Linked DNA regions of Arabidopsis thaliana. The main gene of each other region encodes a partner of the protein of the gene in region 2 in a complex. Each region holds a gene or a part of one and is shown on either strand. Other genes may lie near its edges.

The links.
Region 1: Tic32-IVa (region 2) and Tic20-V share a complex: the UniProt entries of both Arabidopsis thaliana proteins name them as parts of the tic complex.
Region 3: Tic32-IVa (region 2) and Tic22-IV share a complex: the UniProt entries of both Arabidopsis thaliana proteins name them as parts of the tic complex.
Region 4: Tic32-IVa (region 2) and TIC40 share a complex: the UniProt entries of both Arabidopsis thaliana proteins name them as parts of the tic complex.

What each region holds. Positions count from the first base shown.
Region 1 is NC_003076.8:22,552,684-22,559,038, forward strand, and holds Tic20-V (TIC 20-v-like protein), read right to left. Parts: upstream 2,968-6,355; 5' UTR 2,942-2,967; coding exon 2,312-2,941; 3' UTR 2,195-2,311; downstream 1-2,194. Other genes in the region: BAM4 (beta-amylase 4), read left to right, coding at 1-92, 337-557, 640-717, 792-951, 1,065-1,318, 1,419-1,488, 1,712-1,780, 1,867-2,019; AT5G55720 (Pectin lyase-like superfamily protein), read left to right, coding at 3,364-4,178, 4,271-4,409, 4,589-4,813; FLA1 (FASCICLIN-like arabinogalactan 1), read right to left, coding at 5,692-6,324. UniProt on the Arabidopsis thaliana protein: May be involved in protein precursor import into chloroplasts. Not redundant with TIC20-I, TIC20-II or TIC20-IV.
Region 2 is NC_003075.7:12,225,868-12,234,044, reverse strand, and holds Tic32-IVa (NAD(P)-binding Rossmann-fold superfamily protein), read right to left. Parts: upstream 5,143-8,177; 5' UTR 4,875-5,142; coding exon 4,769-4,874; intron 4,024-4,768; coding exon 3,792-4,023; intron 3,716-3,791; coding exon 3,636-3,715; intron 3,519-3,635; coding exon 3,365-3,518; intron 3,291-3,364; coding exon 3,212-3,290; intron 3,128-3,211; coding exon 3,040-3,127; intron 2,924-3,039; coding exon 2,877-2,923; intron 2,735-2,876; coding exon 2,552-2,734; 3' UTR 2,327-2,551; downstream 1-2,326. Other genes in the region: AT4G23420 (NAD(P)-binding Rossmann-fold superfamily protein), read right to left, coding at 5,483-5,647, 5,815-5,861, 5,985-6,072, 6,163-6,241, 6,332-6,485, 6,586-6,665, 6,749-6,980, 7,652-7,735 and 2 more. UniProt on the Arabidopsis thaliana protein: Involved in protein precursor import into chloroplasts. Part of the redox regulon consisting of TIC32, TIC 55 and TIC62.
Region 3 is NC_003075.7:16,060,798-16,068,698, reverse strand, and holds Tic22-IV (Tic22-like family protein), read left to right. Parts: upstream 1-1,801; 5' UTR 1,802-1,983; coding exon 1,984-2,349; intron 2,350-2,439; coding exon 2,440-2,502; intron 2,503-2,874; coding exon 2,875-2,949; intron 2,950-3,045; coding exon 3,046-3,096; intron 3,097-3,213; coding exon 3,214-3,273; intron 3,274-3,378; coding exon 3,379-3,441; intron 3,442-3,847; coding exon 3,848-3,883; intron 3,884-3,968; coding exon 3,969-4,061; 3' UTR 4,062-4,262; downstream 4,263-7,901. Other genes in the region: FLDH (NAD(P)-binding Rossmann-fold superfamily protein), read left to right, coding at 1-68, 169-474, 570-710; AT4G33355 (Bifunctional inhibitor/lipid-transfer protein/seed storage 2S albumin superfamily protein), read right to left, coding at 1,131-1,140, 1,253-1,602; PGSIP3 (plant glycogenin-like starch initiation protein 3), read left to right, coding at 5,638-5,823, 5,911-6,565, 7,523-7,901. UniProt on the Arabidopsis thaliana protein: Involved in protein precursor import into chloroplasts. Imported into the intermembrane space via the Toc translocon. May be involved in the import pathway used by proteins without a cleavable N-terminal pre-sequence.
Region 4 is NC_003076.8:5,446,906-5,456,259, forward strand, and holds TIC40 (hydroxyproline-rich glycoprotein family protein), read left to right. Parts: upstream 1-3,714; 5' UTR 3,715-3,902; coding exon 3,903-4,098; intron 4,099-4,349; coding exon 4,350-4,467; intron 4,468-4,555; coding exon 4,556-4,613; intron 4,614-4,723; coding exon 4,724-4,741; intron 4,742-5,151; coding exon 5,152-5,461; intron 5,462-5,580; coding exon 5,581-5,687; intron 5,688-5,794; coding exon 5,795-5,858; intron 5,859-6,220; coding exon 6,221-6,305; intron 6,306-6,410; coding exon 6,411-6,451; intron 6,452-6,635; coding exon 6,636-6,681; intron 6,682-6,787; coding exon 6,788-6,882; intron 6,883-6,963; coding exon 6,964-7,067; intron 7,068-7,167; coding exon 7,168-7,215; intron 7,216-7,297; coding exon 7,298-7,351; 3' UTR 7,352-7,672; downstream 7,673-9,354. Other genes in the region: AT5G16610 (uncharacterized protein), read right to left, coding at 1-203, 292-325, 446-678, 753-807, 889-1,040; DNA repair protein Rad4 family, read left to right, coding at 8,420-8,557, 8,841-9,104, 9,193-9,285. UniProt on the Arabidopsis thaliana protein: Involved in protein precursor import into chloroplasts. Part of the motor complex consisting of a co-chaperone (TIC40) and a chaperone (HSP93) associated with the import channel (TIC110).

The DNA.
Region 1 (6,355 bases), on a different chromosome or scaffold from region 2:
GGTTGAAGTTACATGTTGCTCTTTGCTTTCATTCAAATATGCATTTGTTTGGTGGGAAAGGAGGCATCAGTCTTCCACTCTGGATCCGAGAGGTTGGTATTGTTAGAATTACAGGTATTTAGTTATTTGTTTGCGGTAGAGATAGAAGGTTGCCTGATGCGGATTTTTCTTCTTCCTTTGAATATTTTTAAGGTTGAGAACTTTTTCTGATGAAACCTTGGAGACTATAGATTTCTGTTACACAATCATAGATGCTAACTTGATTATGTTGTCGTTGGGAATGCTTTCCTTTGTTACGAAGTTTAGCTCAACTGCTTTTCACCTTATAATTTCCAGATTGGAGACGTCAATAAGGACATATACTATAGAGATAAAAGCGGATTTTCCAACAATGACTATCTCACACTTGGAGTCGATCAACTTCCTTTGTTCGGTGGCCGTACTGCTGTTCAATGCTATGAAGATTTTATGCTCAGTTTTTCAACAAAATTTGAGCCATATCTTGGGAATGTGATTGAAGAAATAAGTATAGGTCTTGGTCCTTCGGGGGAGCTTAGGTACTTCTGATCTTCTGTGGACTACCACCGGTAAAGCCACAATAGCTACAATAGGAGTTTCTTACACAGTTATCTCTTGCAGATATCCTGCACATCCTTCTGGAGATGGGAGGTGGAAATTTCCTGGAATTGGTGAATTCCAATGCCATGACAAGTACATGTGAGTGCTTATTTATTGAAAATTTGTATTTGCCTGTACTAATCACACTTACAGATTTATACTACTTGGTTTAGGATGGAAGACTTGATGGCAGTGGCATCCCAAGAAGGCAAACCTCAATGGGGAAGCAGAGATCCTCCGAATACCGGCTGCTATAATAGCTTTCCATCTGGAGTTCCGTTCTTTGAGGAGGGCAATGATAGCTTTCTCTCTGACTATGGTCGTTTCTTTCTAGTATGTTCTATATCATAGCCTCTTTGGTGATTCTGATATAATATATTGTTATGATATAAAAGTGGCTAGTAGGCTGGATTATAGATAACAACGTGAACTGCTTTTCATTGTAGGAATGGTACAGTGGGAAGTTGATTTGTCATGCTGATGCTATTCTTGCAAAGGCAGCCGATGTCTTGCGGAGACGTCAGGAAGAAGAGAAAAGCTCTGTAATGCTGGTTGCAAAAATTGGTGGAATCTATTGGTGGTATAAGACATCTTCACACCCCGCTGAACTAACTGCAGGTTATTACAACACCTCCCTCAGGGATGGTTATGATCCTGTAGCTTCCGTCTTGTCTCGTCATGGTGCTGCTCTCAACATCCCGTGAGAGCCTTTTTCTGAAGTTTTCTTTTACTATGTACATAATTCTCAGAAGCTGCATGGTCCAGTTTCACTAACGAGAGAATCTATCATATCTTTTCAGCTGCTTGGATATGGCAGATAGTGAAATACCTGAGAAATATCTTTGCAGCCCTGAAGGATTACGTAGACAGGTACTTTCTTTCGTAAACCCTTGATCCAGAATTCAATTATGTTCATATGAAGTATGTATGTTACTTGTATTTAGACCGGTCACTGTTGAAGCACTATTTACTTCCGTAGAGACACTTCAAACTAGTCTAGTCTCTGTGTTCTTACTGCGCTGCTACATTAGACAATTAAGCATGCCTTATAAGAACATGAACAAATCAGCATTATCACATTTTCTTTTGCTAGATACATGATGTTTCGAAGAAGTGGACAATACATGTGACTGGTAGAAACACAAGCGAAAGATTTGATGAGGTGAGTTATTTGCACATGCTTTAGTCTTATACGTCTGAGGTCAAAGTGGTGGTTATTAACCATTTTCTATATGAATTCTGCAACAGATGGGACTAAGGCAAATACGAGAGAACTGTGTGCAACCGAATGGCGACACTCTAAGATCATTTACGTTTTGCAGAATGAATGAGAAGATCTTTAGGGTCGAGAACTGGAACAACTTTGTCCCTTTCATTAGACAGATGAGTGCAGATATGTAAACACACTCACCACCCATTGGTGTGTTTGTCTTTTGTTACAGAATCGATCTTTCCTCACCATATTGCTTTTTCAGATATGTGATGAGGAGAACTAATCAAATCAAAAATTGTTATATGATAAAATCTCTCTCTGTTTCTATTCTTCATTTTGTTCTATCTCTATTGCAAAAGTCTTGCAGAAACCTTTTTCATTGGATCAAAAAGTTACATTGTATGTTTTGATTATCAGAAAGCGATCCAATACAGAAGGTTTAATCACAGCAAATGTGTTACATACAAAGATATTATTGAATCAAAGGACTTGCCTATCAGCAGCCTCGGCAACAAGAGGCAACCTCGGGGTCAGACCAAACAAGCAAGCAGAGAATCCATAGATCAAAGAGACAAGCAAGAAGAGGAACACTGTGCTGTCCAAACTCATCACCACATCTAAACCAAACCCATCTCTAGGATTAAAGCTCCTCTCAAGCAAATCCGGGAAAATCAACAACACATCAAGCACAATCGCCTGCATCGTGTTGAACCTGACGTACCTGCTGAAATTAGGGTTCCTCACAACGACGAAGTAGAGAGTGATGAAGATAAGAAACCCATTGAAAGGGAAGCTCTTGAAAGCTCTGATGGCGGGAAACAAAGGTTGGATGAGAATCTGAAAAGGTTGGTACTGTGTGATGATGAATTTGCCGTATTGAATCCCATCGAAGAATGGGTAGAAGTAACAGACGGCTGAGATTATCCGATCCGATGCATCGACGGAATCATCACCCTTGGATTGGAGTACGAGTGTGGCGGCTCTGTCCCTGGAAAGTCTAGGTTTTGGGAATTGGGTATCAAGGTTTAGAGGGAGAAAAGAACGACCGGTTAGGGTTAGGGTTCCGGTGAGAGATGGTAATGGAGCAAAAAACTGAGATATTATTGCCATTTTGCTCTGTTTTTGTTTCACTTCACACAAAACTGAAAGACTGCTTAACACATGATGAGAGGATAATAAACTAAACTCCACTCTGTTTTAAAAGTTTAGCTTAAAACATTGTGTCGTCTTCTTATCTTTCTAATATGATAAAACGGTACGTAGTTATTTGAAGTAAGGTAACAATTAAATAGCCTCTGTTATTGTCTTTGTTTTTTGTGTATATTTAAATATCAAAATCCACCGGTATAAAACGGCGTAATGCCTTTGTATTGGACCCAATTCTTTCAATTTTCACCTAATTTAATTACCTCCGTATTTATTTTTTAGTGCACTTCAATGTCTCTTGCATATATATATTGGAGCAAATTATAAACATAATGTTCATAGTGAAATTGTTAGTTGGTTTTAATCTCTTTTTAAGACAACATATAATGTCAATTGTATGTACGTTTTTCTTGTTTCTCTTAAACACTTCTTTTGCGTTTGCATTTGCGATTCCTAAACCGCCAATAGTAAGGAGACTATCAACGACAGTGACATCAAATTCAACAGCGTCTTCTTGCTCAGCCAATGGAAATCCAATCGATGAGTGTTGGAGATGCGACGAAAACTGGAAGGACAACCGCAAAAACCTCGCGGATTGCGCGGTTGGATTCGGACGCGACTCAATTGGCGGTAGAGCCGGGGAGTTCTACACGGTGACTGATTCAGGAGACGACAATCCTCTAAATCCAACTCCAGGTACATTACGGTACGCTGCGACACAAGATCAACCTCTATGGATCATTTTTGATCGAGACATGGTAATACAACTAAAACAAGATCTTCAAGTAGCTTCATACAAAACCATTGATGGTAGAGGAAATAACGTACAAATAGCTTATGGACCGTGTTTAACTTTATATAAAGTTAGTAACATTATTATAAACAATCTTTATATTCACGATTGTGTTCCCGTGAAACGGAATGCTTTATCGTCGTTGGGAGGATACTCGGATGGAGATGGAATATCGATATTCGAGTCTCGAGATATTTGGATTGATCATTGTACGTTAGAGAAATGTTACGATGGGCTTATTGATGCGGTGAATGGATCCACGGATATAACGATTTCGAATAGTTACATGTTGAATCATAATGAAGTCATGCTTTTGGGCCATAGTGATGAGTATTCCGGTGATCGGGATATGCGAGTTACGATCGCGTTTAACTATTTTGGTGAAGGACTTGTCCAAAGAATGCCAAGGTTAGTACAATCTTATATTTCTTTTTCTTCTTTTTTTAATGTCAAATTTATAAGCTAACCAAAATATTCGTGCTTAAAATACCAATGTGTAGGTGTAGGCATGGATATTTTCACATAGTGAATAACATTTATAGAGACTGGAAGATGTATGCTATTGGTGGAAGTGCTAATCCAACGATCTTTAGCCAAGGAAATGTTTTCATAGCTTCCAATAATCAGTTCACCAAGGAGGTACGTTCGTGACATGTGCTCCACAAAACTAAGAGCGTTTTAACCTCACAATTAGTACAATCTAATTCATAGTCGACTAATCATTTAGAAATTTGATTTTCATGTGTCTTACTATATGGATTAGATTCTAGACGGAAATGTTTGCTCCATACTTCTAAACTCACATGCCCTATACGCAGGTTACAAAGCGAGAGAGTGCAGATGGAGACGAAGAATGGAAGGAATGGAACTGGAAATCAGAAGGAGACGAAATGGTTAACGGAGCTTTCTTTACACCGTCAGGGAAAGAGGATTCTCCGAGCTACGCGAAATTTTCGAGTATGGTAGCTCGACCAGCTTCACTTCTCAAGACCACACATCCATCAGTAGGTGTTCTTAGTTGCGAAATTGACCAAGCTTGTTAAAAACACAAACATAAGCTTGTGACCAAATCTAGTGTTTGTCCTTCTTTTTCTTTTTTGCTCTTCTACTTGTTGTGGTTATTGTTATCGTAAATAGGATTTGTACTGAATGTGATGATGATCATAGACCCAAACAACAATTGTTCATTGTCAATTTCTTTACCAAAAAATTTCTTTTACGAGTCACAAAGTTTCGTCAGTTTTTTTATTTATAAATACATTAAAATTACTTAACAACCTTTTTCCATCGGATAAAACTAAGATTGACACTCATCATTAATAATTTTATATATACTCCCATTTTTTTTAGTGAGTGTTAACATAAGATTAGGAATTATTCGTATATTGTTAGTTTCTTTTATTCTAACTTTCCCAATCATATTGGGATTGAGCTCATCCCAATATGTATAAATAGCGTACTCAAGAGACCAATCATCAAGTGGCTAGTAATGTGGCTCAAGACCTAATTTCGTAGCTAGCTACTTTTTTATTTGTATTTTGTATATAACACATTAAAGGCTTTTTTTTCCTTTGATTCAATGTAAATTTCGTTACCTTTCAAATTTCTGATTTGTGATGATCTGAATTAGTTTTTGGACTCATTATGTGAAAATCAGTTAGACAAATACAAAAACAAGAAAAATATGACAAGATCACCAAAATCAGGACTTGTTTACATCATCAACTAAACAAACACGTGAAACAAGAACACACAAATATATAAACTACCGACTATTTAATTCGACAACCAACTTTTAAATAAATAAAAAAAACTCAACAATAGAGGGAAATAAATAATCCTCATTTACTTTCCCCCAAAAACCATAAATAAAAGATTCACAAAAAAAAAAACATGGAAGAATAGAAGAAACGAAGTGAAACTATAGAAGCCAAGAAGAAGCAAACAAGCAGAGCAAGCTCACCACCAAACCAGCCTTAGCTCCTCCGATGATCCTAACCGCACCAGCATCATCTGCCGTCGCATCATCGGCCTCTCCGTCAGGCCCTTCGGCAGGCGAATCCGAGTCACCAAAAGGATCATTATCTGGCGACGGTGCAGCCTTCTTCTTCTTTCCTTTCGCTTTCCCTTTAGCCGCTTTTGGAGAATCCGCAACATCACCATCCTCTGGTGCCGGAGCAGGAGCCGGAGCTTCAACAGCCGAAGCCTTAAACAACTCTTTAGGCAACAAAACCTTATCAGTCGCATATATAGCTAAAGGCTGCTCATCAATAAGAGTATCAACGATCTTGACAGTGTTGATCCTTGTCTTGAGGGTAACCTTCTCTCCATCGTTCTGTACAGTAAGCTCAAACTTGTTAGCTCCATCTGTCGCAAGTGTGTTCATCGGACCATTGTTGGATTTGAGCATCGCCATTGAGTAATATGTCGGGACAGCGAGGAAATCGAGAAATGCTTCTTTCTTTGGAGCTGTCAAGTTCTTGTATTTGGGCAAGAAACCTTTCATTGCATCATCTCCTGGACAGAACACTGTCATGCCTCCTTCTAAACTCTCCTGTTACAACATAAACACAATCCAAAACCCG
Region 2 (8,177 bases):
TTAAATAGTAGTAAAAATATGTCTCTTTCACATACAATGTAATCAGTCTGGATTTTGCTTCAAAATCATATGATTAAAAGTAAATTAATTCATTAGCTAGATAAGTAAAATCAAAATTTTGGTGCTTAATTGGTATTAGTCGTGTTCACGACCAATGCTTTTGTGGGGATCAATGATTGAAGACGTAGACCTTCCCATGAACGTAGTTCAATTATCTATCTTCCCAAGCAATAATTGAGTTATTAAATAAACTCCACTAAATCAAGTGTAGGATATAGCCATGCATGTAACAATGTAAGGAAGATATATGAACTTTTGTACATTTTTAAAGTATTGTGGAAGATATATATACAATTATTTTCATCACTATATATAGAAAAACTATAAAACGAATAATTTGACCTGGTTTTATACACCGAAATCTACCCTTAGTTAGGATTTATAAAATTTGATAATTAACTAATGTCCACCACCCTAACTCGAATCTTGATAAGCTTAAGATGGATATAAATTAAGATTCAAATCAATAATAGTCATTGATAAGACAATAGTCTTGTGTTTGACACCATATGTTTTTTGGGGGTAACAAACAGCTCAATGATATGCATTGTTTTTATGGTACACCGAATGATGTTCGATGTTTCCTTGGTTGCTTCCAAAGTCAGTCCAAAAGACAGTTTTGTTTGTACATGCTCACTCAATCCCCCACGTGTCCTCACGTGATATCAACGTACGGTCCTGATGGCCTCATCACTCCCTTTTCACACGTTTCATCCACGGCTCCGAATTATCGCCTCTCCAACACCTTTTCAAGAGATCACATTTGCTCTTTTAGCAGAAAAATGGTCTAATTTAGAGAATTAAAGTCCAATTGTGAGGCCCATCCTTATGAATTAGGAATTGAATAGAAGGAATAATTTTGATTTAGTTTCATGTAGACACTATTTCCTTATGATTTAGCTTTTGTTTGACAAAGCAAATTTTGTCAATGATTGAAAGATGAGTCAATTATGAAGCTTAAATATATGTGAATGATAATTGTAAGGATTATATGGATTTTAGTCATAGTGATAACAAAGATCACTTGGCCACATGTTTTGGTTATTTTTGAAAACTTTTTCTGTTGTTGAAATCCTGAATATATGCATGAAATCGAATTTTACCACATTACGGAGAAGAGCAATTATTAAAGTTGAATGTGTACACAGCAGAAAAATACAAAGAAAGCGTCCAATCTGTACATGTACTACAACATGATTGACTTTTTGGTAATGATAGAATAAAAATGAATATGTAATTCAATGTTACCACAATTTAATTACTTTGTAGTACCACGGATTAGTTAGATAAAGTAAACACAAAGGTGTGAACTTAGATCTCTTTATAAGTGGTTTGGTGGCTTCTCAGAGAGTTTGAGAAACATTACCATACTCTTTATTAGTCCATCCCCCAACCATTCATATACGATTGTGTGATATATGTTCTTTTCAATATAGTTATATAAATTTTCTCAAATAGAATGTTACAAACATATTTGATTAGTTTTGTTGTTGCTGATGATGACAACTAATTTTGACAATTTCAAAAATCATTTGTTGTTGTTGAAATTTCAGTCCTTTGTTGCTCATCATAGTGTAAGTCTATCAACAACAGTAAAATGAACAAAAATCTTTAGTATCGTATTATATACTATATTAGGTCCATACATTTTTACGAGTTAATTTGAGGTATCCACATCCATACACACAATATCTCATATTGGAGCATGTGATTTTTCTGCAAATAGTTTGTACGTACAATAGATATGATTGTGAACAATTGTAAAATAGTCACAAATAGTAGTACTCTAGTACTTGGCCACATTTCAATAATCTTTAGTGATCAATCTTATCACCCTAAGATGAATTTTTCTTTTTTGTTAAATATCAACATATATAGTCCTAAACCTACATTGAAATTTGCTCTCGTTATAGTTTGAAATTTATACAATGCATATCATTAATAGCATTGTTTGGTCCAAATCAAATAAATATAAAAACAAATGCCATCTAACGACCGACAATTATATATAGAGGGTATGAAATGAATTAAATACAGAGCCTATCTATAACACTCTATATCGACAATTTGCACGTTATGATCCAAATTCCAATCACAAAGATTAATTAATTACTTAACCTTCCTAATGAAACCATTAATAAAGTGAGTTTAAACTAGAAAACTATCATCATTGATTTTTATTTTCATTTCTGACCATCACTTTAATAATGCATTGACAGTATTGTCTCCTCGTGGCTTCTTCTTCTTTTTGAATTCGAAAGTTGTCTTTAAAATCTTCTGATACTTGATTACAAAGCTTTTTTACATTTTCTTCTGATAAGTGTTTGGTGAAGGTTTAGAACTAAACCGGTCAGAATAAACCATCTTATTGCAGATTTGTTATACGTTTTTATTTCCTTTGATAAAGACTGAAATAAGTATTGTCACAGTAGAGATAAGAGACGTTGAAACATGAAACCATTAGTAAAGATTCACTGAACATCATTTACTTTCAAGAACTGCTTTCTCCTGATTGTGAATCGGTAAGCTTGGTGCTGAAATCCCAAACCTTCTTGGCCAATTCTGTATCTTTGACAAGTGGTAATGGTTTAGCAATGTTGCTATCTTGGAAGTATTCCCCTGAAACTCCTGCAACTTGAGGATTCAATGCCACATAGCAAGTTGTTGCCGCTCCCTACAAAGTCGTATACTCAGACATTATAAACCACATAACGGAACAAAACCAAGTTTTATCCTTTAAGCAAGATCTGAGAAACCTTGTGACCAGTTTGTAAGTGATTGGTTACCAGTGTGAGGCTTCGAAATTAGAAGCATACCTGTGGAACAGACTTGAGTATATATTTAGCCACTGCACCAACCGCTACTGCATCAAGCCAATGCCAGAGAGGATCAGAAGAAGTATATGTATGCGTTTGTTTACTTGTGTGTAACCTTGTGAAGTATGGGGTGATGATAGTGGAATAAGAGAAAAGAAGTTACCAGCCAAATAGGGGTTGAAGTAGCGCCCGAGGTTAGTCATAATGGCTCCTGGATGAAGCGAATTTGCTGTTATATTGACTCCATCTTCCTATTTTATTCATACCAGATTTGAATCAATATAACCATGGAAACATAGATTTTGATTTGATAGATCTCTTGTTTTTCTAGTTACCTTCAGTTGCTTTGTAAGCTCGTTGGCGTGCAACACATTGCAGAGTTTAGATTGTCCATAAGCTCGCATACTACTGTAACTGCAACGGAGACCAAACCAAGGAAGAATGTTAGATTTTGATAGAAGAATTACTATTTGGTTCACCATTAGTACCTTGACTTGTCATTGATCTTATCAAAACGAACTCCTTCTGGATACGAGAACCGATGAGCTTCTGATGATAGGTTAACAATTCTTCCTTCTCGTTTGCTTTCACGTGATGTGCTCTTCATTGTATCTAGCAGAAGTTTAGTCAACAGAAAATGACCTGAAATAAAGTGGATCACAAATTCCATGCCACTGACTAAAAACTAATGATGATGTTAACTTAAGTATATAACTTTAGAACAAAGCCACATAATGTTGGTTTACTTCTCCTACTCACCTAAATGATTGGTTGCGAATTGCAGCTCGATGTTGTCCTTAGAGAGCATAAAAGGACATGCCATAATCCCGGCATTGTTGCTTACAAGATTAAGACAATTCAAAACATTAACCATCAATAAATCAAAACCGCTATATACAGTATTCAATAGCTTACATCAAGAGGTTGAGTGGAAGACCAGTAGATTTGTACTCAGACGCAAATTTCCTGACAGATTGCATTGAGCTGAGATCTAACTCCATGACATCGAGTTTAGCTCCAGGGACTTGCTTGACAATATCTTCCTTAACTTTAGCACCAGAGTCAGTGTTCCTCACCGCCATAACCACATGCACACCACGCAGTGAAAGAACACGCGCTGTCTCTACTCCTATACCACTTGATGCTCCTGAAAATATGAACACAAAGACAAGAAAACTTAAGGAACCAAACATGTCCAGAAAACTCAATGCAGGCTAGACTACTTTTTAAAGTTGTATCAACCAATGATCAGTTAAGCTCTTCCAAGCCTTTTCAAACCCTGATAGGCTATTAGGCTGACTCAGGGTTTGCCCAATCGATGCTACACTCAAATATGTATGTGCAAGTCTTTAGTGTCACCTAACAGGGTTCTATCAATTCAAGGACTCCATTGTTCTTGTTTCAGGCCCTAATGTAATATGATCAAAATATAGAAACGATTTCTACAAGCAAATCTGTATTTTTTCTTCCCTTGGCCAGGAATTGTATAGAGTTGTGATATATAACACAACTTACAAGCAGCTGAAACAGAGACGAGTTATTTTCCCTTAACATGCAATTATACATATGGTCCCAAACTTGTTGTACTTTAAAATTCACCAAACATGGAATTTTCAATCCAAATTCTTGAAAAAAAAGACAACTTTCGAACAAGAAACAGTGATGACCTCAATATTTATTAGAGTTGACCGAATCAAAGACAGACCCTGATGATAAAAACCTTAAATTCCAATTGTCTAAACAATAAAAGTCAAGTCTTTTTACTAGATATGAAATCAATTCGAAGACAGAATCAGAGAGGACAAAAGTTCTGGAAATTATAAGAAAAAAAGTCTACAACTTTAGACAACCCCATGTCGCAAAATGGCATGAAAGTGTTGATAGAAGAAAACCTGTGACTATGGCAGTGAGACCAGTCCCATCAACACCATGTGTGACTTCCTCTGCAGTTGAACGAGACGAGAATCCAGATGCTCCTTTCGATCCAAAAAACCACATCTTTCAGCTTTTTTTGTTTCTGCTGGAGAAGATGAGAGGAAAGAAGTCCAATAAACACAAACTATGGGACTTGTTAGCGTTTTTCTCTTCTTGAGTGGTCAAGCGATTTCGCTTTTATTCTGATTTAAATAACTTTATTTGTTCATATGTGACAGAAATGTGATTACTTTACTTTAATCCTCATGTCTCACGAGGTTGAGGTTGAAGTGTAGAATAGTGCATCTCCAAAGTCAAATGATGGGGATTTATTAACAACTTTCTTTTTAAAGGATTTAACAAATGTCCTTAAAATAGCTCCCACCAATAACATGAGTTAACTCCAAAATCAGAAGATGTTTTAAGCTCTTTCTGTTTGGTTTCTTACTTACTTATGTCTACGAGTTAGTTCACTAGACAACTGTTTTGAGTCAATGAGAAAACAGATAAGTAACACTTTTGTTTAGGCTGAAATTGGATAAACCATCTTTTTGCAGAATTGAAATGGAAATGATTTCAGATTTGTTTTTTACATTTTATTTTGTATCAATAAAGACTGAAATAAGTATTGTCACAATAGAGACATCGAAAGTAAAGGTTCCCTGAACAACTATCTACTGCAACGGTAATCATCATTGCGAATCAGTAAGCTTAGTGCTGAAATCCCAAAGCTTCTTCGCCAATTCTGTATCTTTGACAAGTTCTATTGGTTTAGCAATGTTGCTATCTGAGAAGTATTCCCCTGTAACTCCTGCAACCTGTGGATTCAATGCCACATAGCAAGTTGTTGCCGCCCCCTACCAAGTCGAATACTCAGACATTATAAACCAGATTACCAACAAAAACCAAATCAATCCGTAAAGCTAGACTGCTGTATCATTCTCTCCTACTTAAGCTGAGAAACCTAGTGACAAGTTTGCAAGTGATTGGTTATTAGTGTGAGGTTCAGAAATTAGATGCATACCTGCGGAACAGACTTGACCATATATTTAGCCACTGCACCAACAGCTCCTGCATTAAGCCGGTGACAGAGAGATCAGAAGAGACTCAAAATATATGTATGCGTTTGTTTACTTTGAGTGTAACCTTATGAAACATGGAGTGATGAGAGTTGAATCCGAGAAAAGAAGTTACCAGCCAAATAGGAGTTGAAGTAGCCCCATAGATTTGTCATAATGGCTCCTGGATGAAGTGAATTTGCTGTTATATTGACTCCATCTTCCTGTTTTTAATCATATACCAGAATTGAAGATAACCATGGAAACATAGATTCTTGATTTGCTATATCTTTGCTTTGTTTAGTGTAGTTTACCTTCAGTTGCTTTGCAAGCTCGTTGGCGTGCAATACATTGCAGAGTTTAGATTGTCCATAAGCACGTATACTACTGTAACTGCATGTGGAGACCAAATCAAGGAAGAATGTTGGCTTTAGAAGAAAAGATGGGATCGGAGAATTATACTATTTGGTTCACCATTAGTACCTTGACTCGTCGTTGATCTTATCAAAGCGGACTCCTTCTGGGTACGAGTAACGATGAGCTTCTGATGATACGTTAACAATCCTTCCTTCTCTTTTGCTTTCACGTGATGTGTTCTTCATTGTATCTAACAGAAGTTTGGTAAGCAGAAAATGTCCTGAAATGTATTTGGATTACAAAAACCGTTGCACTGATTAGAAACTAATTATATAAAATGTAGGACAAAGCCATAATGTTGGTTTGGTTATCATACTCACCTAAATGGTTGGTTGCGAATTGCAGCTCGATGTTGTCCTTAGAGAGCATAAAAGGACATGCCATAATCCCGGCATTGTTGCTTACAAAATTGAGACAAGTCAAAACATAAACGTCAATAAATCCAAACGGCTATAGATGAACCACGATATTTCAATAGCTTACATCAAGAGGTTGAGTGGAAGACCAGCAGATTTGTACTCAGATGCAAATTTCCTGACAGATTCCATTGAGCTGAGTTCTAACTCCATGACATCAACTTTAGCTCCAGGGACTTGCTTGACAATATCTTCCTTAACTTTAGCACCGGCGCCAGTGTTTCTCACCGCCATAACCACATGCACACCACGCAGTGCAAGAACACGAGCTGTTTCTACACCTATACCACTTGATGCTCCTGAAAAAACATGAAAACAAACAAAACAAAACTTGAGGATCCAACATGTTCAGAAATCTCACTTTCTTAAGTTGTATCAACTAATAGATTAAGCTCGTTCCTAGCCTTTTCAATACCCTGATAGGCTGATACAGAACATGTGCATACTAAACTACATACTCAATCTAACCAAAATAAGGAAGCAGCACTTCACAAAAGTATTGAAACGAGATCTACAAGCAAATCTTTTTTTTTTCTTCCTTTGGTCAGAAATTGTATAGTGTGTGATTATAACATAACTTAGAATCAGCTGAAACAGAGACAAGTATGTATATATATGTAACTTTCTAATAGCACATGTTATTTGCAGATCAAATGGTCCCAAACATGTTGTACTTTAAAATTCACCAAACATAGCAATCCAATTCTTGTGAGCAAAAGCTTGTTACTTATTGGCAAAAAAAAAAGACAAACTTTAGAACAACAAACGGTGATGACCTCCATATATTTATTAGGGTTGACCGAACCAAAAACAGACCCTGATCATAAAAACATCAAATTCCAATTGTCTAAACAATAAAAGTAAAAAATCTCTACCCTACATATGAAATCAATTCATAATTATAGAAAAGTCTACAACTTTAGACAAACCCAAGTCGCAAAAGGGCATGAAACTATTGATAGAAGAAAACCTGTGACAATGGCAGTGAGACCAGTCCCATCAACACCATGTGTGACTTCCTCTGCTGTGGAACGAGAAGAGAATCCAGATGCTCCTTTCGATCCAAAAAACCACATCTTTCAGCTTTTTTTCTTCTGGAAAAGATGTAAGGAAAGAAGAAATTAACACAAACTCTGAGATTTGTTAGGGATTTTCTTCTTTAGTGGTCGAAGGATTTCGCTTAAGTTCTGATTTTAATAATTCATATGTGACAGAAAAGTGTGATTACTCTAATTGGGAAGGATAAATAATGACGAGGAGAGAATCCTCGCTTCTCACGTGGAGATTTGATTAGAAGATTGCATCTCCAAAGTCAAATTAACAACCTTCAATAAAATAGCTCCACCAAAAACGTGAACAATTAAAGAAAGACCTCAGATGTTATAACAGTTACCAGAGAGCTAAAAAGATTGAACTATTGCGGATGGAATGGGCCGCGCGAACGCAGCCCCCCAAGGCAACAAATAATGACGCAGGATCTCCCACTTGGCCATTTG
Region 3 (7,901 bases), 3.8 Mb from region 2:
TTTTGCTGTATCCTGGTGTTATTTTTGGTCCAGGCAAGCTCACTTCAGCCAATATGGTTGCTAGAATGGTATGATTCTTCCTTTTGCTGATTAGAGTTGCATTGGTGGGATGATGTAGTGGTACATTGACAGTATGTGGTTGATTATCACATGATGTTGTTCTTCTAGTTGATCGAGCGCTTTAACGGGAGGTTGCCTGGATATATTGGCTCTGGGACGGATAGATACTCCTTCAGCCATGTTGATGATGTTGTGGAGGGTCATGTTGCTGCAATGGAAAAAGGTAGGCTTGGTGAAAGATACTTACTCACTGGGGAAAATGCTTCTTTCAAGCTTGTCTTTGACATGGCTGCACTGATTACTGGAACCAAAAAGCCAAACTTTAGCATTCCATTATGGGCCATCAACGCATACGGATGGTTATCTGTTTTAATCTCTCGGGTTACAGGAAAGCTTCCACTTATCAGTCCTCCGGTGAGTTTCAATTGCATTCATTAGTTGCCCACATATTATAGATTATCTTATTAGGTATAGAATAATCTCAACTCTTAGTATTTTGTGATGAACAGACAGTGACAGTGCTGAGACATCAGTGGTCATACTCTTGTGATAAGGCTAAGCTGGAACTTGGTTATAACCCTCGAAGCCTAAAGGAAGGATTGGAGGAGATGCTCCCTTGGTTGAAGAGTCTGGGCGTCATTCACTACTGAAATTCAAATTTCCCATCTTTCAGGTATTTCGAAGAATAATATTCCCTTGAATTCAGTCACTATGATGAGTGATGACTACATTTTTACTTCTCCCGTTACACTTTTAACCCAATCGATTTTTATCTTGTTACAAAACTGCTTCGTTTTGATCGTGTATGTCAAATAAATGTGAAACATTGTGTGCAAATGCTGATGATCATATTTTAAGATGTTGAGCTACGTGTGAGAGTAGGAAAGAGGGAATATGTAAATGTGGGAAATAATCACATTTTATCTGCCAAGAACTATATGATTACATCTATAACATATATGATCAGAAGATAAATACTAAGTATCCATATAATTTGTTCATGATGGTTTTGATCTTTTAGGATATCCACTTTATTGTAGCTGCATGGCCGTTGGTAGTCAATCTTCTTTTCAGTTTATGCTGTTCAGTGTTCACAAAACAAATTAAATAGGTCAATTAGAGGATTATGTAGTTAGAAGCTCTCACAACTACACATGTTTCGGCAATATTAAAAAGAAACTGCAGTAGCTACCTGTTACAGTCCACAGTCTTAGAGAAAGGGACTCCTATATTAACACCACATTTAGCAGGGAGTTGTTTGGCAAAATCATCATTAATTCCAGGGATTGTATTAGCTACACTCTTCAAGCAATTACAAGCTACTTGTCTATCGGCTTTCTCAGGCGCTGCGGCTTTTAGACTATTAAGTCCGTTGCAGCACATTGGAGACGGATTTCCTCCAGCTTTTAGATAAGGCAAACATTGTGCTAAGTACATGTTTACCTGCGGACATGCTATGGCTTCTCCATGATACGCAATCCCCAATAAAATCGTAATCACAAGTAGTAACATTTTTCGGGTTGTAGTAGTAATGTTCCTCATATTTTTCAGTTAACGAGAGTTTTAACAATTTTGTTTTCTTTAGTGTGTTGTTTGCTTGATCTAGTAAGTATTTTATAAGGAGGAGAAATTTGGAGGAAAAAAATGTCATCGACATGAATTTTGAGTGACAAAAGCTTTTTGTAAGTCATGTCATGTGTTTAGAATGGTGTGGAAGTTGAGTTTAGAAAGTTAATAAATGCTTTGTCACCAAACTTTTGATCAAGGGCCATATTAAACGTAAACTAAAACCAATCAAGTCCAATAAAGCCCAAATAAAAAAGCCCAAACGAATTGCTCTGAAGCCTTTTTCTTCACTCTCTTCATAGTATCAAAAATTGCTTCTTCTTCTTCTACTTCTTTCTTCTCTCTGCAAATCCAAAAATGGAGTCATCAGTGAAACCCAATCCTTTCCTCTCCTTCTCTTCTTTCATTCACCACCAGTGTACCCGCTTCAGCTCCGACCTCTCCGCCCGAATCGAAGACACGAAACGATTCGCCGAAACCCTAGCTACTCGACGTTTCTCTCTTCCTACTCCGCCGCCTTTCGCCTCCGTCTCACAATCCAAGTCTGGAACCCCGACGACGACGTTGAGTCCATCTCTTGTCGCTAAAGCTCTCGCTGGGACGTCGGTGTTTACAGTCAGTAACACCAATAACGAATTCGTTCTTATCTCGGATCCTACCGGAGGCAAGTCTATCGGTTTGCTCTGTTTTCGACAAGAGGATGCTGAAGCTTTTCTTGCTCAGGTTTCGCTTTTTGTTGTATTTTTCTCCTCCGAACTTTTTTAAAAAAATGTGAAGTTTCTGAGCTCATAATTCTCTAATATACTCCTTTAGGCGCGACTTCGGAGAAGAGAATTGAAAACCAATGCGAAGGTTGTTCCCATTACTCTGGACCAGGTAGTTCCCTTTCCTTATGATCACTGCATTAGATCAATGTGGAAGAAGCCATTGGTTAAATCAAATGAAACAAACAAATTTCAGGAGCTCAAATTCTAAGTAGACTTGTTCATGTCTGGCCTCATTTTAGTTGTTTATATTATACGGTAATAGGAACACCTGTTGGCAGTTTGAATGAACGGGAGATTGTGTTCTTGTGCACGTAGCAATGTTGACAACATCGTCACAAGAAAGAATGCAACGATGGCATGATTATAATCCCTCTAATGGCTTGGAACTTATAAGTTATAACTACGTTTAGGGAACTTTTTGATGTTATTTGCGTAATCGTGGTAGCTACATTCCCAGAAGTTAAGATGATGTTGTTTACAGGTGTACTTGCTAAAAGTTGAAGGGATTTCCTTTCGCTTCTTGCCAGATCCAATCCAAATAAAGAATGCGTTAGAGGTTGGCTCATGCTAAACAGACTTTTAATTATATGTGTCTATAGCATTTATTTGGCATTTCAATCTTATCCATAAGCTATATTTTCTTGCGTCTCAGCTCAAATCCTCAGGAAATAAGAATGGGTTTGATGGAGTTCCGGTTTTTCAGGTAAATTGATATACTCATTTTCTGTGTTTTTCTATTATACCAATATGGATTCCTTATGTTTTGGTGTTTTTGCTTTGTTTTCTCTTGATATCTATCTGTTGTTATTGGCCTCTACAGTCTGAGCTTCTTGTTGTGAGGAAAAAAAATAGACGTTACTGCCCTGTATATTTCAGTAAGGTTGGTTAGTTTCTTCTCCCACGTTAAAGAATACTAATAGATCTCTCATAAGCCAAAACAGAGGAAGATAACTCTTACTTTCCTGTTCTGCGTGACCACTTTCAGGAAGATATAGAGAGGGAACTTTCTAAATATACGAGAGCATCAAGAGGAGATCAACAAATTATGGTAATGATTCATACCTACCTTCTATGTATTTGAATCTTCGATAGGCCACGTAAGATAGAAACAAACACCTTGATCTAAAGACATGGTTTACTAACAAGTGGGAGTAGCTAGTAGCTGTGTTGGCATCATATGTAATTTCTAGCATTTTTTGTGATTACATGTTCTGCAAACATATAACACCATGTTTTCAAAGGAACAGCGAGGGAAAGGGAAAAGTCTTAGAAAACTTTAGAAAGAGCGGAATTCAGATTGTACATGCCTTCATATATCTGAGTTAAAATGAATTCCAAGGTTTATCGTTATCAAAGTTGCATATCAGAGATCAATATATAAAGTAATTTCACAGCATTGGTTTTGTTAAGAGTTTTCTTATCTTCACCATGGAACTAATCTTTTTGTTTTGCAGGTTGGGAGTCTGGAAGATGTGTTGAGGAAAATGGAGGTACTCACGCTTCTTCTTTGTTTAAAGAAACCTTAAAGTATGAAAACCTGGTAGTCTAATAAAAATCTGAATTGAATCAATGTAGATGAGCGAGAAGAATTCAGGTTGGGAAGATGTAATATTCATTCCACCGGGAAGAAGTTATGCACAACACATGCAGGATTTGATCAAAGAGTAAAACCATAATAGACACAATGTGTGTATTTTTACTTGATAAAAAAAAAACAGCCTCTTTTGAGATTTTGCAATATTATCAATTGCCCAAAGAGCTCAACACAGTCCCAAAATTTAGTTTTCTCCTCTCCTTTTACCACTTAAACACATCATCAACATGTTACTCGTGGTTCTTACATCCAGAAAAATATATTTGGCATATACGGATACCTAAATCAAATAACATAATCTTGTTTGTTTTAAAAAGTGGAGATGTACGTTATTCATCTGTCATTAGAATGTAGTATCAGCCTAATTATTCAAAGGAGGTTGAGGCCTCTAAAATGATATGTTGGTTTAAGCTAATTATTGATCAAATTTGGTTGATATACGATTATTAAAACTAAGATGTCTTACCAATACTTATTTTCATTTTCTTTTCCTCTCATCATAATCGCTTTGACATCTCAGCTTAATGATAATGTGATTATTTTCATCCTTACTAATTGTTACTGCCTTAAAAAAAACAAGTTGAAGTAAGAAAAAGAAAAGGAGATGAGATTGTTTCAAAAGCATTGATCCTTTCCTGAAGCGTAAGTAAGCGATGTTGACAGCAGAACTAAACTTGTTGCTTGCTTGACTTCCTCCGTCGTCGCATATTGCACCTACTAACATTTTTTCTCTTCTTTATTCTTCCAACCAATTGTAGCCTATGGTCTTTTGTACCAATTTTTCAAAAGTTGTAGTTGGTAGAGGTTTTGTGAACAAATCTGTAACATAATTTATTTTCTAACATAGATTGCATCGTTTTCTGATAAAGATCATCAAATTGTGGAAATATGTAGTTTTTTTTTAGTTTTTTTTTTTTGGGCGGAAATATGTAGTTTATTATCCTACTTTTGATGACATTTTCCTTTATTCAATTGAGCTGTAACTACTACTTTATTTTATTTTTGTATTGTGTTAAGTTGTTGTATAGTCTTTATCGGAGATTACATGTTCTCCGAACTTATGTAACAGCAAGCATTCACAATTTGTCTCATTATTTACCAAGATTTGTGAATAGATAAAGTGGTAACAAAAGTCAATGTCCTGGAGCACCATTAATAGTAGAACCTTCAAATGACGGTAGATAACTTTTAATGAAATCCCTTTTGGGTTTTGCATTGGATGAGATAAAGTGATATATGTAGTAAATAAAAAGGATCCCTTACAATATTGTAATTTTGGTCCCATGTTTGGAGGTGAGAGCAAATACGTATCTTAAGGCATACGTATCGCAAACTCATGTCATTATCCAACCACAATCGTTGGCGACATATCTTTGTTTAATAATAATACATCAGGCTTGTGTTTGAGTAAAGAAAATCCTTTGACACGTCCAATGTAAACTCTTTTAGACGTTTTTTTTGTCCTACTCAAAAAAACTCAACCTCTACTTAAAGTACTAATTACCATGTTTTTGTTTTTTTCTCTACCCTTCACGTGGTTCGCATACAAAGAATATTCCTACACATATTTCTCGTGAAACCTTTAAACATTTTGATTTAGGAGTGTATATATATAAGATGAAAGATAAATGTTTGTCATTCAGAAACGAGATGACGATAATGACGATGATAATGAAGATGGCTCCTTCCAAATCTGCACTGATACGCTTTAATCTAGTCTTGTTGGGTTTCTCTTTTCTTCTCTACACTGCCATTTTCTTCCACCCTTCTTCATCAGTCTATTTCAGCAGCGGAGCTTCCTTTGTTGGATGCTCTTTTCGTGATTGCACTCCCAAGGTAAGGTGAGTTTACATTTTTGTTTGCAGAGTAAATCTTATATCAAAACTTAGACTAATAGATATCTTTATACTGCTATGTGATCAGGTGGTGAGAGGAGTGAAGATGCAAGAACTCGTTGAAGAGAACGAAATAAACAAGAAAGATTTGCTAACCGCTAGTAACCAGACAAAGCTGGAGGCGCCAAGCTTCATGGAAGAGATTTTAACAAGAGGGTTAGGAAAAACAAAGATAGGGATGGTGAACATGGAAGAATGTGATCTTACTAATTGGAAACGTTATGGCGAAACGGTTCACATACATTTTGAGCGTGTCTCGAAGCTCTTCAAATGGCAAGACTTGTTCCCCGAGTGGATAGATGAAGAGGAAGAAACCGAGGTTCCCACATGTCCTGAGATACCTATGCCCGATTTCGAAAGCTTAGAGAAGTTGGATTTGGTAGTAGTGAAGTTGCCTTGTAATTACCCTGAAGAAGGGTGGAGAAGAGAGGTTTTGAGGTTGCAAGTGAACCTAGTTGCGGCTAACTTGGCAGCCAAGAAAGGGAAGACGGATTGGAGATGGAAAAGCAAAGTGTTGTTTTGGAGCAAATGTCAACCGATGATTGAGATTTTCCGGTGTGATGATTTGGAGAAGAGAGAGGCAGATTGGTGGCTGTATCGCCCTGAGGTGGTTAGGTTACAACAGAGACTCAGTTTGCCAGTCGGATCTTGCAATCTTGCTCTTCCTTTGTGGGCACCACAAGGTAAAATTACTTTCATGCAAATTAATCTTCTTGCTAAATATTTTTAGTTTTAGCAAAAGTAACTAAATTAATTATGATGAAACCAAAAATCTTTTTTTTTTGTTTTTAATATACTTAGAGTACCATTAGCAAATTATTTTGACCACTCTTTTGTTTTTGAATTTGGTTACTTTTTCCAAGTAATTAAACTAAACAAACAGAAAATATATGTTGAACTGAACTTGAAATCGAAACCGTGTTTTGTGGCGCAAACGTAAAAAGGTGTATAGTCGGAAATGTGTCAGATGAACTATGAAGTGACTAAGACATTGTAACATAAAAGGACCTGCTTAAGTGAAATTGATGTGAAAGATACCAACTGTATGGTGTAATATAAAACAACTCGATATGTTTCTATACTTTGCTTATAATTGATTGATGTGTGTTAATTAGTTAGATATGTTAGTGGTTGTGTTTTAGGTATGTCGTTTTGCTAACCACCAAATATGAATTGTCATACAAGCTACCTTACACTTTTTAAGGAGATATTAAACCCTTAATTTCTTTCCAAAATAGCATTCGTATTGGTAGATCGAGTTAGTTAGCTAAATAGCTTGTGGTTTAAGAAAACGAATGATCATCGAATAAGGTTAATAATGATAGCTTTTTTTTTTACGGCAGGTTAATAATGATAGCTTATATGCTAATATATTAGAAAAACATTCAACTCTCTATGTATTTGTTTGTCAATTAATTAAGATTACTAAATATGAATATTATAAATACGATAATTCAAATTCTAATCACAAAAATGCAATTTTTGCTGGTTTAAGAAAATGCAATGGATGAAGTAGTTTTTGATAACCTATCCATGCATATATAGCAATAACTAAAATTTGATAATAATCGTTGAAGAAGTTTTTTCAATGGCCTTACTAAATGAATTAATGAGTTTTTTTATCCAAAAACAAAAAGCAGGTGTAGACAAAGTGTATGACCTAACGAAGATAGAAGCAGAGACAAAACGACCAAAACGTGAAGCCTACGTAACTGTTCTTCACTCTTCCGAGTCTTATGTCTGTGGTGCCATAACTTTGGCTCAAAGCCTCCTTCAGACAAACACCAAACGCGATCTTATCCTTCTCCACGATGACTCCATCTCCATTACCAAACTTCGAGCTCTCGCCGCCGCAGGATGGAAGCTTCGTCGGATCATTCGAATCAGAAACCCACTTGCGGAGAAGGACTCGTACAATGAATACAACTACAGCAAGTTTCGACTCTGGCAATTGACAGATTACGACAAAGTGATCTTCATTGATGCCGACATCATCGTCTTACGTAACCTTGATCTTCT
Region 4 (9,354 bases), on a different chromosome or scaffold from region 2:
GATATTGGAATATCACTCTCTTGAATTCCACCAAGCTGACTTCCAGATTCTGAACATATACTAAAATTTCTACAGAGGACAGAATCAATTTTCTCTAGAAAGCCGCTGAATTGGACTCCAGAAGACGAAGCTATCCCATTTTCGCATGAAATCTCCGCTTTTATTTTATAAAGTTCAGTTTCATCGCAATCTTCAGTATTATCCTGTACTTGTAAGCAAACACCTAGTTAGCCCAAATAGATTCCAAACAAAAAAAATTCAAAACCCAAGGGAACTTGTCACTTTGATTACCTCTACGTTAGATTCAGGCAACCTTATAGCAACCCTGCAACAACAACAAGAATGGTGTATAAGAGCCGTGAAACACTAAATGAACGCAGGCGACAAAAAAAAGTGGAAAACCATCCACCGAGCTTGTGACATTATAAGTTAAAAAATAAAACACCTTTCAAGAAGCATTTTGCGCCGCTCCTTCAGTGTGAGATGTTCAAGATCATCACTCCTTTCAGTTTCTCCGACTCTATTAAAATTCTCTACAGCATTACTACAACATCCTAGAATGTTGTTCTGTGGTCTTATGTTTCCAGAATCTTTAAGACCTTGACTACAACCAATGTTCATAGATTCCAATATTTCCGTGCTTACAGATTCAGTAGCATCACAATTTGACACTACACCCTGGACACTAGATACTCAGTTCTCTAAACTTACATAAGTGAAATTGAATTTAACAAAAACAAAGACTTCGTTACCAGCTCATTGAAGCAATCTTCTTCTTCTCTTTTCAAGACACTATCAACATTCGATCTAAGAAACAAATGAAAACATATGTGAAAACAAAAACGAAAAGTGAAATTGAAGAAAACGTAAACCAATGACAGTACTCACGCAGGAACATAAGCAGCGATACGTTGAGAGACTCTTTCACTCGATAGCAATAAACTCCGCCGTGACGTCAAGGGGAGATGGTCTTCCTCAAGGAATGTAAAATCAGACTCCGATGAAGAGATGTTGGTAGGTTCATGGCACATCTTATACATTTGAATTAGAGTAATACAGAGGAAAAGTACATGGAGACTGAAGAAAATTGCTATAATCGAGATTTCTCCAAATTTGCTAATTGCGTATAGAGCTACAAAAGCGAATTAGATAATAAGAGAGAAGGGTTTGTTAAGAAGGTAAGGAGAATGAAGAAAGGAATCTCCTTTGGACATGAACACAAGGAGAAGAATCTCAGATTGTCGAAACCCTGGTAATAAACATGAAGAAGCTTTTGTGTCACTCACTTTTATGAACAATAAAAAAGTTGTTTTTAGCCAAATTGAAACATAACCAGTGAAACGGAGACCTTACCTCAGCATATTCGATGAAACACTGAAATTGAGACGCTCTTACTGATTAACAAGTTAAGAAAGAAATCGTTTTTTTTTTTTGTGTGTGTTTATCATCGAAACAGAGGGGAAACAGGAGGGAGCGAAGAGAAAGGTTATTTTATTTGGGCTAATGGGCCAATAAAAATAGAACCTAAAGGCCCATAGATGTAAACCCTAAGCTATAAATAAAAGACTTCGTCTTTGATTTCGCCGCAAGATATTATCTTCACGAAAAGATCCGATTTTTTTGTTCTGATTTTCTGTTAAAATCTGAATTTTTCGCTACGAAATCTTAGGTTAAGAATAGCATATAAGGAACAGATTTGTGATAGGAGTCTTTAAGCTTAGCACTCATGTATAGCTTAAAAGAAATCTTATGTTCCGATGCTAAATCAAACATCTTCATTGATGGTTTGGAGTCTCTGGACATGTAGCATTCTGGGAATTTTTTTTCCCGTGGATTCTAGCATTTTCTCGAGATTCGACATCTTCCTATGTTTTTAATTCTGATCTTATGTTTGGATATTTTAGATCTTCGAATTTCTATGATAAAGTGTTAACCTTTTCTCAAATAAAGGTTTTGTGAAAATTTGCTTTTTGATGCTGCTCTATGATGATTCTTTTTGCTTTAACCACACTGAAAAGATGGGGTTGAGAATGTGATTTTGCTCTTCTTGATTCAAACCAGAGAAAGATTAGATTTGATCTCGGAGTTTCTTGATGACACTTTGATCTAAGTTGCTTGAAGGGGATTCTTTTTCTCCTTTGTGGTTTAGATTAAGGTAGAGAGTAATGTCGAGCTCTTATCAACATTTTTCATGGTTTGAGGCTTGAAGAACATTCACGTTTTTCAAGCTCACTCATGTGGACAACCTTGGCCCTTGTCTGAGAAGCAGCTTTTTCTCATATTCAGTTTTTCTAAATTTGTTGTTTTAAAAAAAAAAATTGGTTTGTTTTTTTGGCTGTTCTATGATGATTATATTGCTTTAACCACACTGAAAAGATGGGCTTGAGAATGTGATGTGGTTCTTCTTGATTTAATCCAAAGAAAGAGTTCTTGAGCTATATGTATTGCTTGATGACACTTTGATCTAAAATACTTGAAGGGGATTTGTTTCCCTTTGTGTTTTAGATCAAGGAAGAGATCAGTGTAGAGCTCTTGTTCGATATTTTTCTTAGTTTAAATCTTGAAGAACATTATCATTTTCTCAAGCACTCATATGTGGAATCATTGTGCCCTTTGTCTGAGAAGCAGCTATGAATTCTGTTTTTGTCTTCGATATTGTTAAACGTAGCTGATTTGTAAGATTACTTTGTGATCTTTTTTGGATGCTTGATATGTATCCAACCAAGAGTGGGTTTCTTCTTACAAAGATATTGAGTTAGGAATTTTAATGTCATTTTATGTTCGAATTGGGGAAAATTCACAAAAAATTGGGAAAATAGAAGAGAGCATTATTCGATGTTTACCACATGGTGGAATAATTTGACAGAACAATGTACTTTGGGAATGACATATGGAACAAACTGTGTAAACCAATTTGATGATGAAGGTGAACGAGTTACATATAGGAGACTTACACTTCCATAATAATATTCAGAAACTATATGAAAGTGTATCTTTCTTTATTACTAAAACTCTTTTCTAATAAGAAATGTGTAAACTATGTAACTCGGCAACGGTTCCAGACTCTCTAATCCTAAATCAATGTTAAAGGCGTAAGGCTCTTGAACCTGTTCATTGTGAGCTTTGAACTAAGTATTCAATTTTTTGGACAATCCGAAAAACACAACAGTATAACTACAAATGGATTAGTCCCATTTGGGCGTAGTCTCATTCGTTTGGACGAGAAACACAACGAAAAACCTAGCCAATTTTGTTGTTCTCATGTATGGGCTTAATTGGGGACTAATCCATCTGTGGTTCCCCTTGTTTCCATAGTTCGTAATTTTATTCGTTTTTCGTCTTAAGTTTTCCCTTCTTTAGGTTTAGTTTCCGGAGATATTTTTGTTTTCCGCCGGCTTTGTGTTTCAAATTTGTATTCCACCCTTTGTATTTCACAACCTATAATACAATGGAAAAATTCTGGATGAAAAAAAGAAAAAGAACACAGTATATAGAAAAATCTGAATCACAGTACTAACATCATTGATTTTCTGCTACAAAAATGAGTGTACACTGATTCTTAAAATAGATACGGGCTATAACATAACAAAAAGAAAAAGTGGGGGATGGCTTTTGCAATAATCTCGAAAGAGTTTCTCACTCACATCACACCCTTGGTTTATAAATAAAACTCATTGATCTTGACGGTGAAAATATCGCCACCTGTTAATTTGTAAAAAGGTTTCAGTACACTTAGCTACACTGGATCCAAGTCTAGTGCTAAACTCAAACCTCGTGGTTTTAGACCAAAATCTCTTCTTCTTCGTTTCCTTCTTCCTCATCATATCTTTCATCTTCTCCACCAGAATTTGTTTTAGGCTCTCCTTCTTCTGTTTCTTTTTCTCCCAAAGAAACAATTAGATATGGAGAACCTTACCCTAGTTTCTTGCTCAGCTTCTTCTCCAAAGCTGTTAATTGGATGCAATTTCACTTCCTCGCTGAAAAACCCTACTGGGTTTTCTCGTCGGACTCCTAATATTGTCCTCCGGTGTTCCAAAATATCTGCCTCTGCTCAATCTCAATCTCCCTCTTCGCGTCCGGAGAACACTGGAGAAATCGGTTAGTTTGCAAATTCCACTCGACACTCTATTATAGCAAATGCCAAAATTTTCCGGAAAAATTTCCAGTTTATTACTTTTATCTATCTTATTGAAACTCAAATTGCGAACCCTTTTCGACTGGTTTAATATGAGCTTATGAATTGCTATATCTCTTAAAAAAATCCACACTTTGTGAATTTGCAATTTGAATTCTTGTAGAAACCATTCATTGTTAGAATTGTTTACTTTAAGTTTATGTTCGATTTGCAGTGGTTGTGAAACAGAGAAGCAAAGCTTTTGCAAGTATATTTTCTTCGAGTCGTGATCAACAGACAACTTCTGTTGCTTCCCCTAGTGTGCCTGTGCCACCACCATCTTCATCAACCATGTAATTTTCCTGGTTTTGGACAATGTGCTTAGTTTGTATGTCGTTTGATTCTTGGTTATTAAATTGTGTTTTTTCTTTTTTCTTGTAGAGGATCACCACTTTTCTGGATTGGTGTTGGTGTTGGTCTATCAGCTTTGTTCTCATATGTGAGTATCAAGATTCCTTCCTAATTTTTTTTTCCTCTATAAATATTCTTTCTTGCTTCAATATTGATTAATAAGTGCTTGACCTTTTTTCTTTTCTGATGGCATTGCAGGTAACTTCAAATTTAAAGGTACAGATACTTGGCCCTCTGGTTTTACGGGACTTTTGTTCTCTAGTCTGTTGCAGAACCACGATTTTATGCTTCATGTCAACTCTAGTGTATTGTGCTCATGTATCTGAGATAGTTTTATTCACTAAACTGGTTATCTTAACAAGGTGAACTGTTTGCTCACACTTGTTGAACCGTTTATATAAGCATCGAACTTTTGCCTCTCTTTTTTTGGGTAGTCACTTGATTCGTAGATGGTAACCTACATACCATTATGGTTTTAGTGATGCAACTCAGGTATTCAGACTTATAGTCATTTTCGCAACTCCAGTATTTGATTGAAATATATTATACAAGTTGTCATTGCTTTCTCTCATTATTCTCTAACCGGCTGTTACTCTCTTTGGATTTTTTTTTTTGCTTTGGTTTAGAAATATGCAATGCAAACAGCTATGAAGACGATGATGAACCAAATGAATACGCAAAATAGCCAGTTTAATAATTCTGGATTCCCATCAGGATCACCTTTTCCGTTTCCATTTCCTCCTCAAACAAGTCCTGCTTCCTCGCCATTCCAATCTCAATCCCAGTCTTCAGGTGCTACCGTTGATGTGACAGCGACAAAAGTAGAGACACCTCCTTCAACTAAACCGAAACCTACACCTGCAAAGGATATAGAGGTGGATAAGCCAAGTGTTGTCTTAGAGGCAAGCAAAGAGAAGAAAGAAGAAAAGAACTATGGTAGATTCTTTTTCTGTTTCAGAAATCAACGTCTTTTCATTTGTATTCTCAATTTTGACTTTCTTCCTTTCTCATTTTCCAAGCTTCTAACTTGGAAGCTGATTTACTTTTGGATGCAGCCTTTGAAGACATTTCACCCGAGGAAACCACAAAAGAAAGCCCATTTAGCAACTATGCAGAAGTCTCTGAAACTAATTCCCCCAAAGAAACTCGCTTGTTTGAGGATGTAAGTTTCGTTTTCTTTTGTATTTCCACAGCACACCAAGTGGTGATTTAAAAACGTGACATAGTTTTGCTAACCTTCTATGCTCTCTTATTGATCTCTGGGTGAAGGTCTTGCAAAATGGAGCTGGTCCGGCAAATGGTGCCACTGCTTCAGAGGTTTTTCAATCTTTGGGTGAGTTATTGAATTTCAGTTTTCATCACTATCAGCGCACTGTGCATGATTCATGATTAAGGCTACGGATTTCAATTTTATTTTATAGCATATGCCAACAATTATAAACAAAGGAAGATATGAAATTGGTGATAAAGAGGAATGAGTTGGCTTCAAAAGGATCTACTCCGTTACTTTTGTCCTTCTGCTAGTCGTTGATCTGTATTGGTATAACCATATAAGACTTGCAGGATATTACCTTGGCAATCTGTTTCATATCTCATGTGTTATGATTCTTTTTTCTTATATGCTCACGTTATTGTCTCTCTTTTCCTTATTCTAAATTTAAAACTGAATCCTGAGTCTGTCTATTGTTTACACAGGTGGTGGGAAAGGAGGGCCGGGTTTATCTGTAGAAGCTTTAGAGAAAATGATGGAAGATCCAACAGTCCAGAAGATGGTTTACCCGTAACTCATCTTCCCTAGCACATTGTCTTTAAATGCATCCATTAAGTTTATCTTTAAAACTGGTTGCTTAGTGGACATTTGGTAACATTGCATGTATAAATGCAGATACTTGCCTGAGGAGATGAGGAACCCAGAAACTTTCAAATGTAAGTCTTTTAATATTTAATCCTGCTATCATTCTTTTATTAGTCCTCATTTTTACATATTTCTAAAGACTAAAGGTTACATGACTAGCTTTTGAATGATGTAATTCGTTTATAGGTTGATCCAATGGTTATCTAAATTTAAAATACAGTTTGGTACTTATTGTCTCCGCTTGGAATTTTGTAGGGATGCTTAAAAATCCTCAGTACCGTCAACAACTACAGGACATGTTGTAAGAGCTCCATTTTACGAACAATTTAGTTGTTTCCATTGCTTTTAAGAATGTCTAAACTATGTAATTAAGAAATACTCTTGTTTGTTTCTTTTCATGAATTTAGGAATAATATGAGTGGGAGTGGTGAATGGGACAAGCGAATGACAGATACATTGAAGAATTTTGACCTGAATAGTCCTGAAGTGAAGCAACAATTCAGTAAGACAAATCTCAGTTTGTACCAAGTTAATAGTACGTTAAATAGGTCTGATACTCAATGATTGAATCTGTATTTGTCAGATCAAATAGGACTAACTCCAGAAGAAGTCATATCTAAGATCATGGAGAACCCTGATGTTGCCATGGCATTCCAGAATCCTAGAGTCCAAGCAGCGTTAATGGAAGTACGTTTTCTTTTAACCTGAATAAGAGAATTGCTTAATTTTACCCCACTTCTTTCTTCATACAAAACAGAAACCAATTACATTCTTGTTGTTGTTGCAGTGCTCAGAGAACCCAATGAACATCATGAAGTACCAAAACGACAAAGAGGTAATAATACTGCCACTTCTCCATTGCCCAAAAAGGCGATTACTTTTTTAAGAAATTTGAGGTTATTATACATTGATTGCAGGTAATGGATGTGTTCAACAAGATATCGCAGCTCTTCCCAGGAATGACGGGTTGAAAAAGCTCACGTCTTTGGTTCTATCAAAAATGTCACATTGTCTTTAGCTTTTTGTAGGGAGAAAAAAATGTTTTTTTTTTTGCAAAGAGTCTTCAGTTTTGGTCAGATCAGAGAATTGTGTACCATGTTAATCTTAAACGCGGTCGGGAATTGGAGTCGTGTGAAAACGCCGCTGCTGTTGTTTGGTATGAATATTATACAATAGAATTTGTTGTCTTACCAAAAAAAGTCTATGAAGACACTGAAGAGCAAATTATTATTTTTAAGGGAAAATTTCCAAAATAAACTTCATGTATTCAAAATTTGCTTGAAAAAACCTCAATTTTTTTTGTTTGAGATTGTGTGAATAAATCTGCCAATATTTTGTTTTAGCAATTTAAAAAATTGAAGTTTTTTTCTCGCAAATTTTAAATAGTTGTGATTTATTTTGGAATTTTACCTTATTTTTAATATCCAAAAGGAGAAGTGACGTGGCGATATCGAAGCGGTTTAATGAAGTGATGGCCCCATCTTAAAGAAATCAATGACCCTTATCGTTCCACTTCTATCGGAGTCGGAGTTTTTTTTTGTTGTTGTTGTATTCCGTACGTCGGTCGTTGTCGGGAGAATTGGCGCGTGAAATCCTTGGCTCCGTCGAATACGTCTGCCTCCGACGGCTGTGAGTCGCATGATTGAGTCGTGGGTAAGTATCCTTGTGACTTCAAATTTGTATTTCCGTTCTTTATAATCCCCTGACTCTTGAGAAAATCGAGGAGAAAAAACCATCCTTGCTTGGTATTCATTTGAAGAGTGTTTTAGTTATAAAATCGTAATGTTTGACGGTATGTGATATTCTGTGAGCATGATTATTCAGAAAGCTTTTGTCTTTTTAGTAAATATTGTCTCTTTCTTAGTCTTAGGTAATGTAACCTCAAGAACTCTATGCGAGAACATTACACATTATCTTTGGAATTGGATATTATATTGTTAAAGTTTAATCATTGATGAAAGTTGCAAAGAGTTATGATGACTCCGTTTTGGGATTGTCTTACCGTTGTCTTTCTGGTTTTAATGCTTAGGTTTCTCTTGATGAAGTCTAGAAGTGAAAGTAAGAATTGTAGGCTTGCACAAGCCTCTAGAGTAGCAGTCAACAAAGTTCTAGACAAAAGCAGCGCCCGTGGCTCTCGAGGCAAGAAGAAGCAAGATGATAACTGTGATTCCGCTAAGGTTTGTTCTTCTATTCATGCAAACAACATTATTGTTATAATGATTTCACTATGTTTACCAGGGTACTTAAGATGTTAGAAGCAACGAATTCTATTGATTGTTTTCAAGGTTTCCTTGAAGATTGTGAAGTCCGTGGTACTACTAACCAATTATCAATGGCTGTTAAAAATAGTTTCCTTGTCCTATGCCTAAAGATTTTCTTGGGACAGTGGAGATTTTTGTCTTATCTAGTCCTATGTTGTCCGGGAGTGTAAAATTATTTAATACTCTTCTATCATTGCAGCGGGATAAAGGCGTAAACGGTAAGGGAAAGCAAGCGCTCGACGCAAGATTGATTGATAACGTTCTAGAGGACAGGGGATGTGGTAATGTTGATGATGATGAAATGAATGATTCAGACTGGGAAGACTGTCCAATCCCTAGTCTTGATAGTACGGTTGATGATAATAATGTTGATGACACCAGAGAGCTAACCATAGAATTTGATGATGATGTTCCTGATGCTAAGAAGCAGAAGAATGCATACCGTGCAACAGCAGAAGACAAGGTATACTGTGCTTAGGAAACACAATATGCTTACTTTTGTTTATTCTTTAAAATGTGGTTGCTTTAGAGATTTGTGCTTTGTCTCAAAGGTACGGGCGGAACTTGTCCATAAGGTGCACTTGCTCTGTCTGCTTGCAAGAGGGAGGATAGTTGACAGTGCTTGTAATGATCCCTTGATTCAGGTGAATAAATTGAATACAACAGTGTTAGCAGTTGCTTCAAAGTTAAATTTTTCATATTGCAACCTGCGA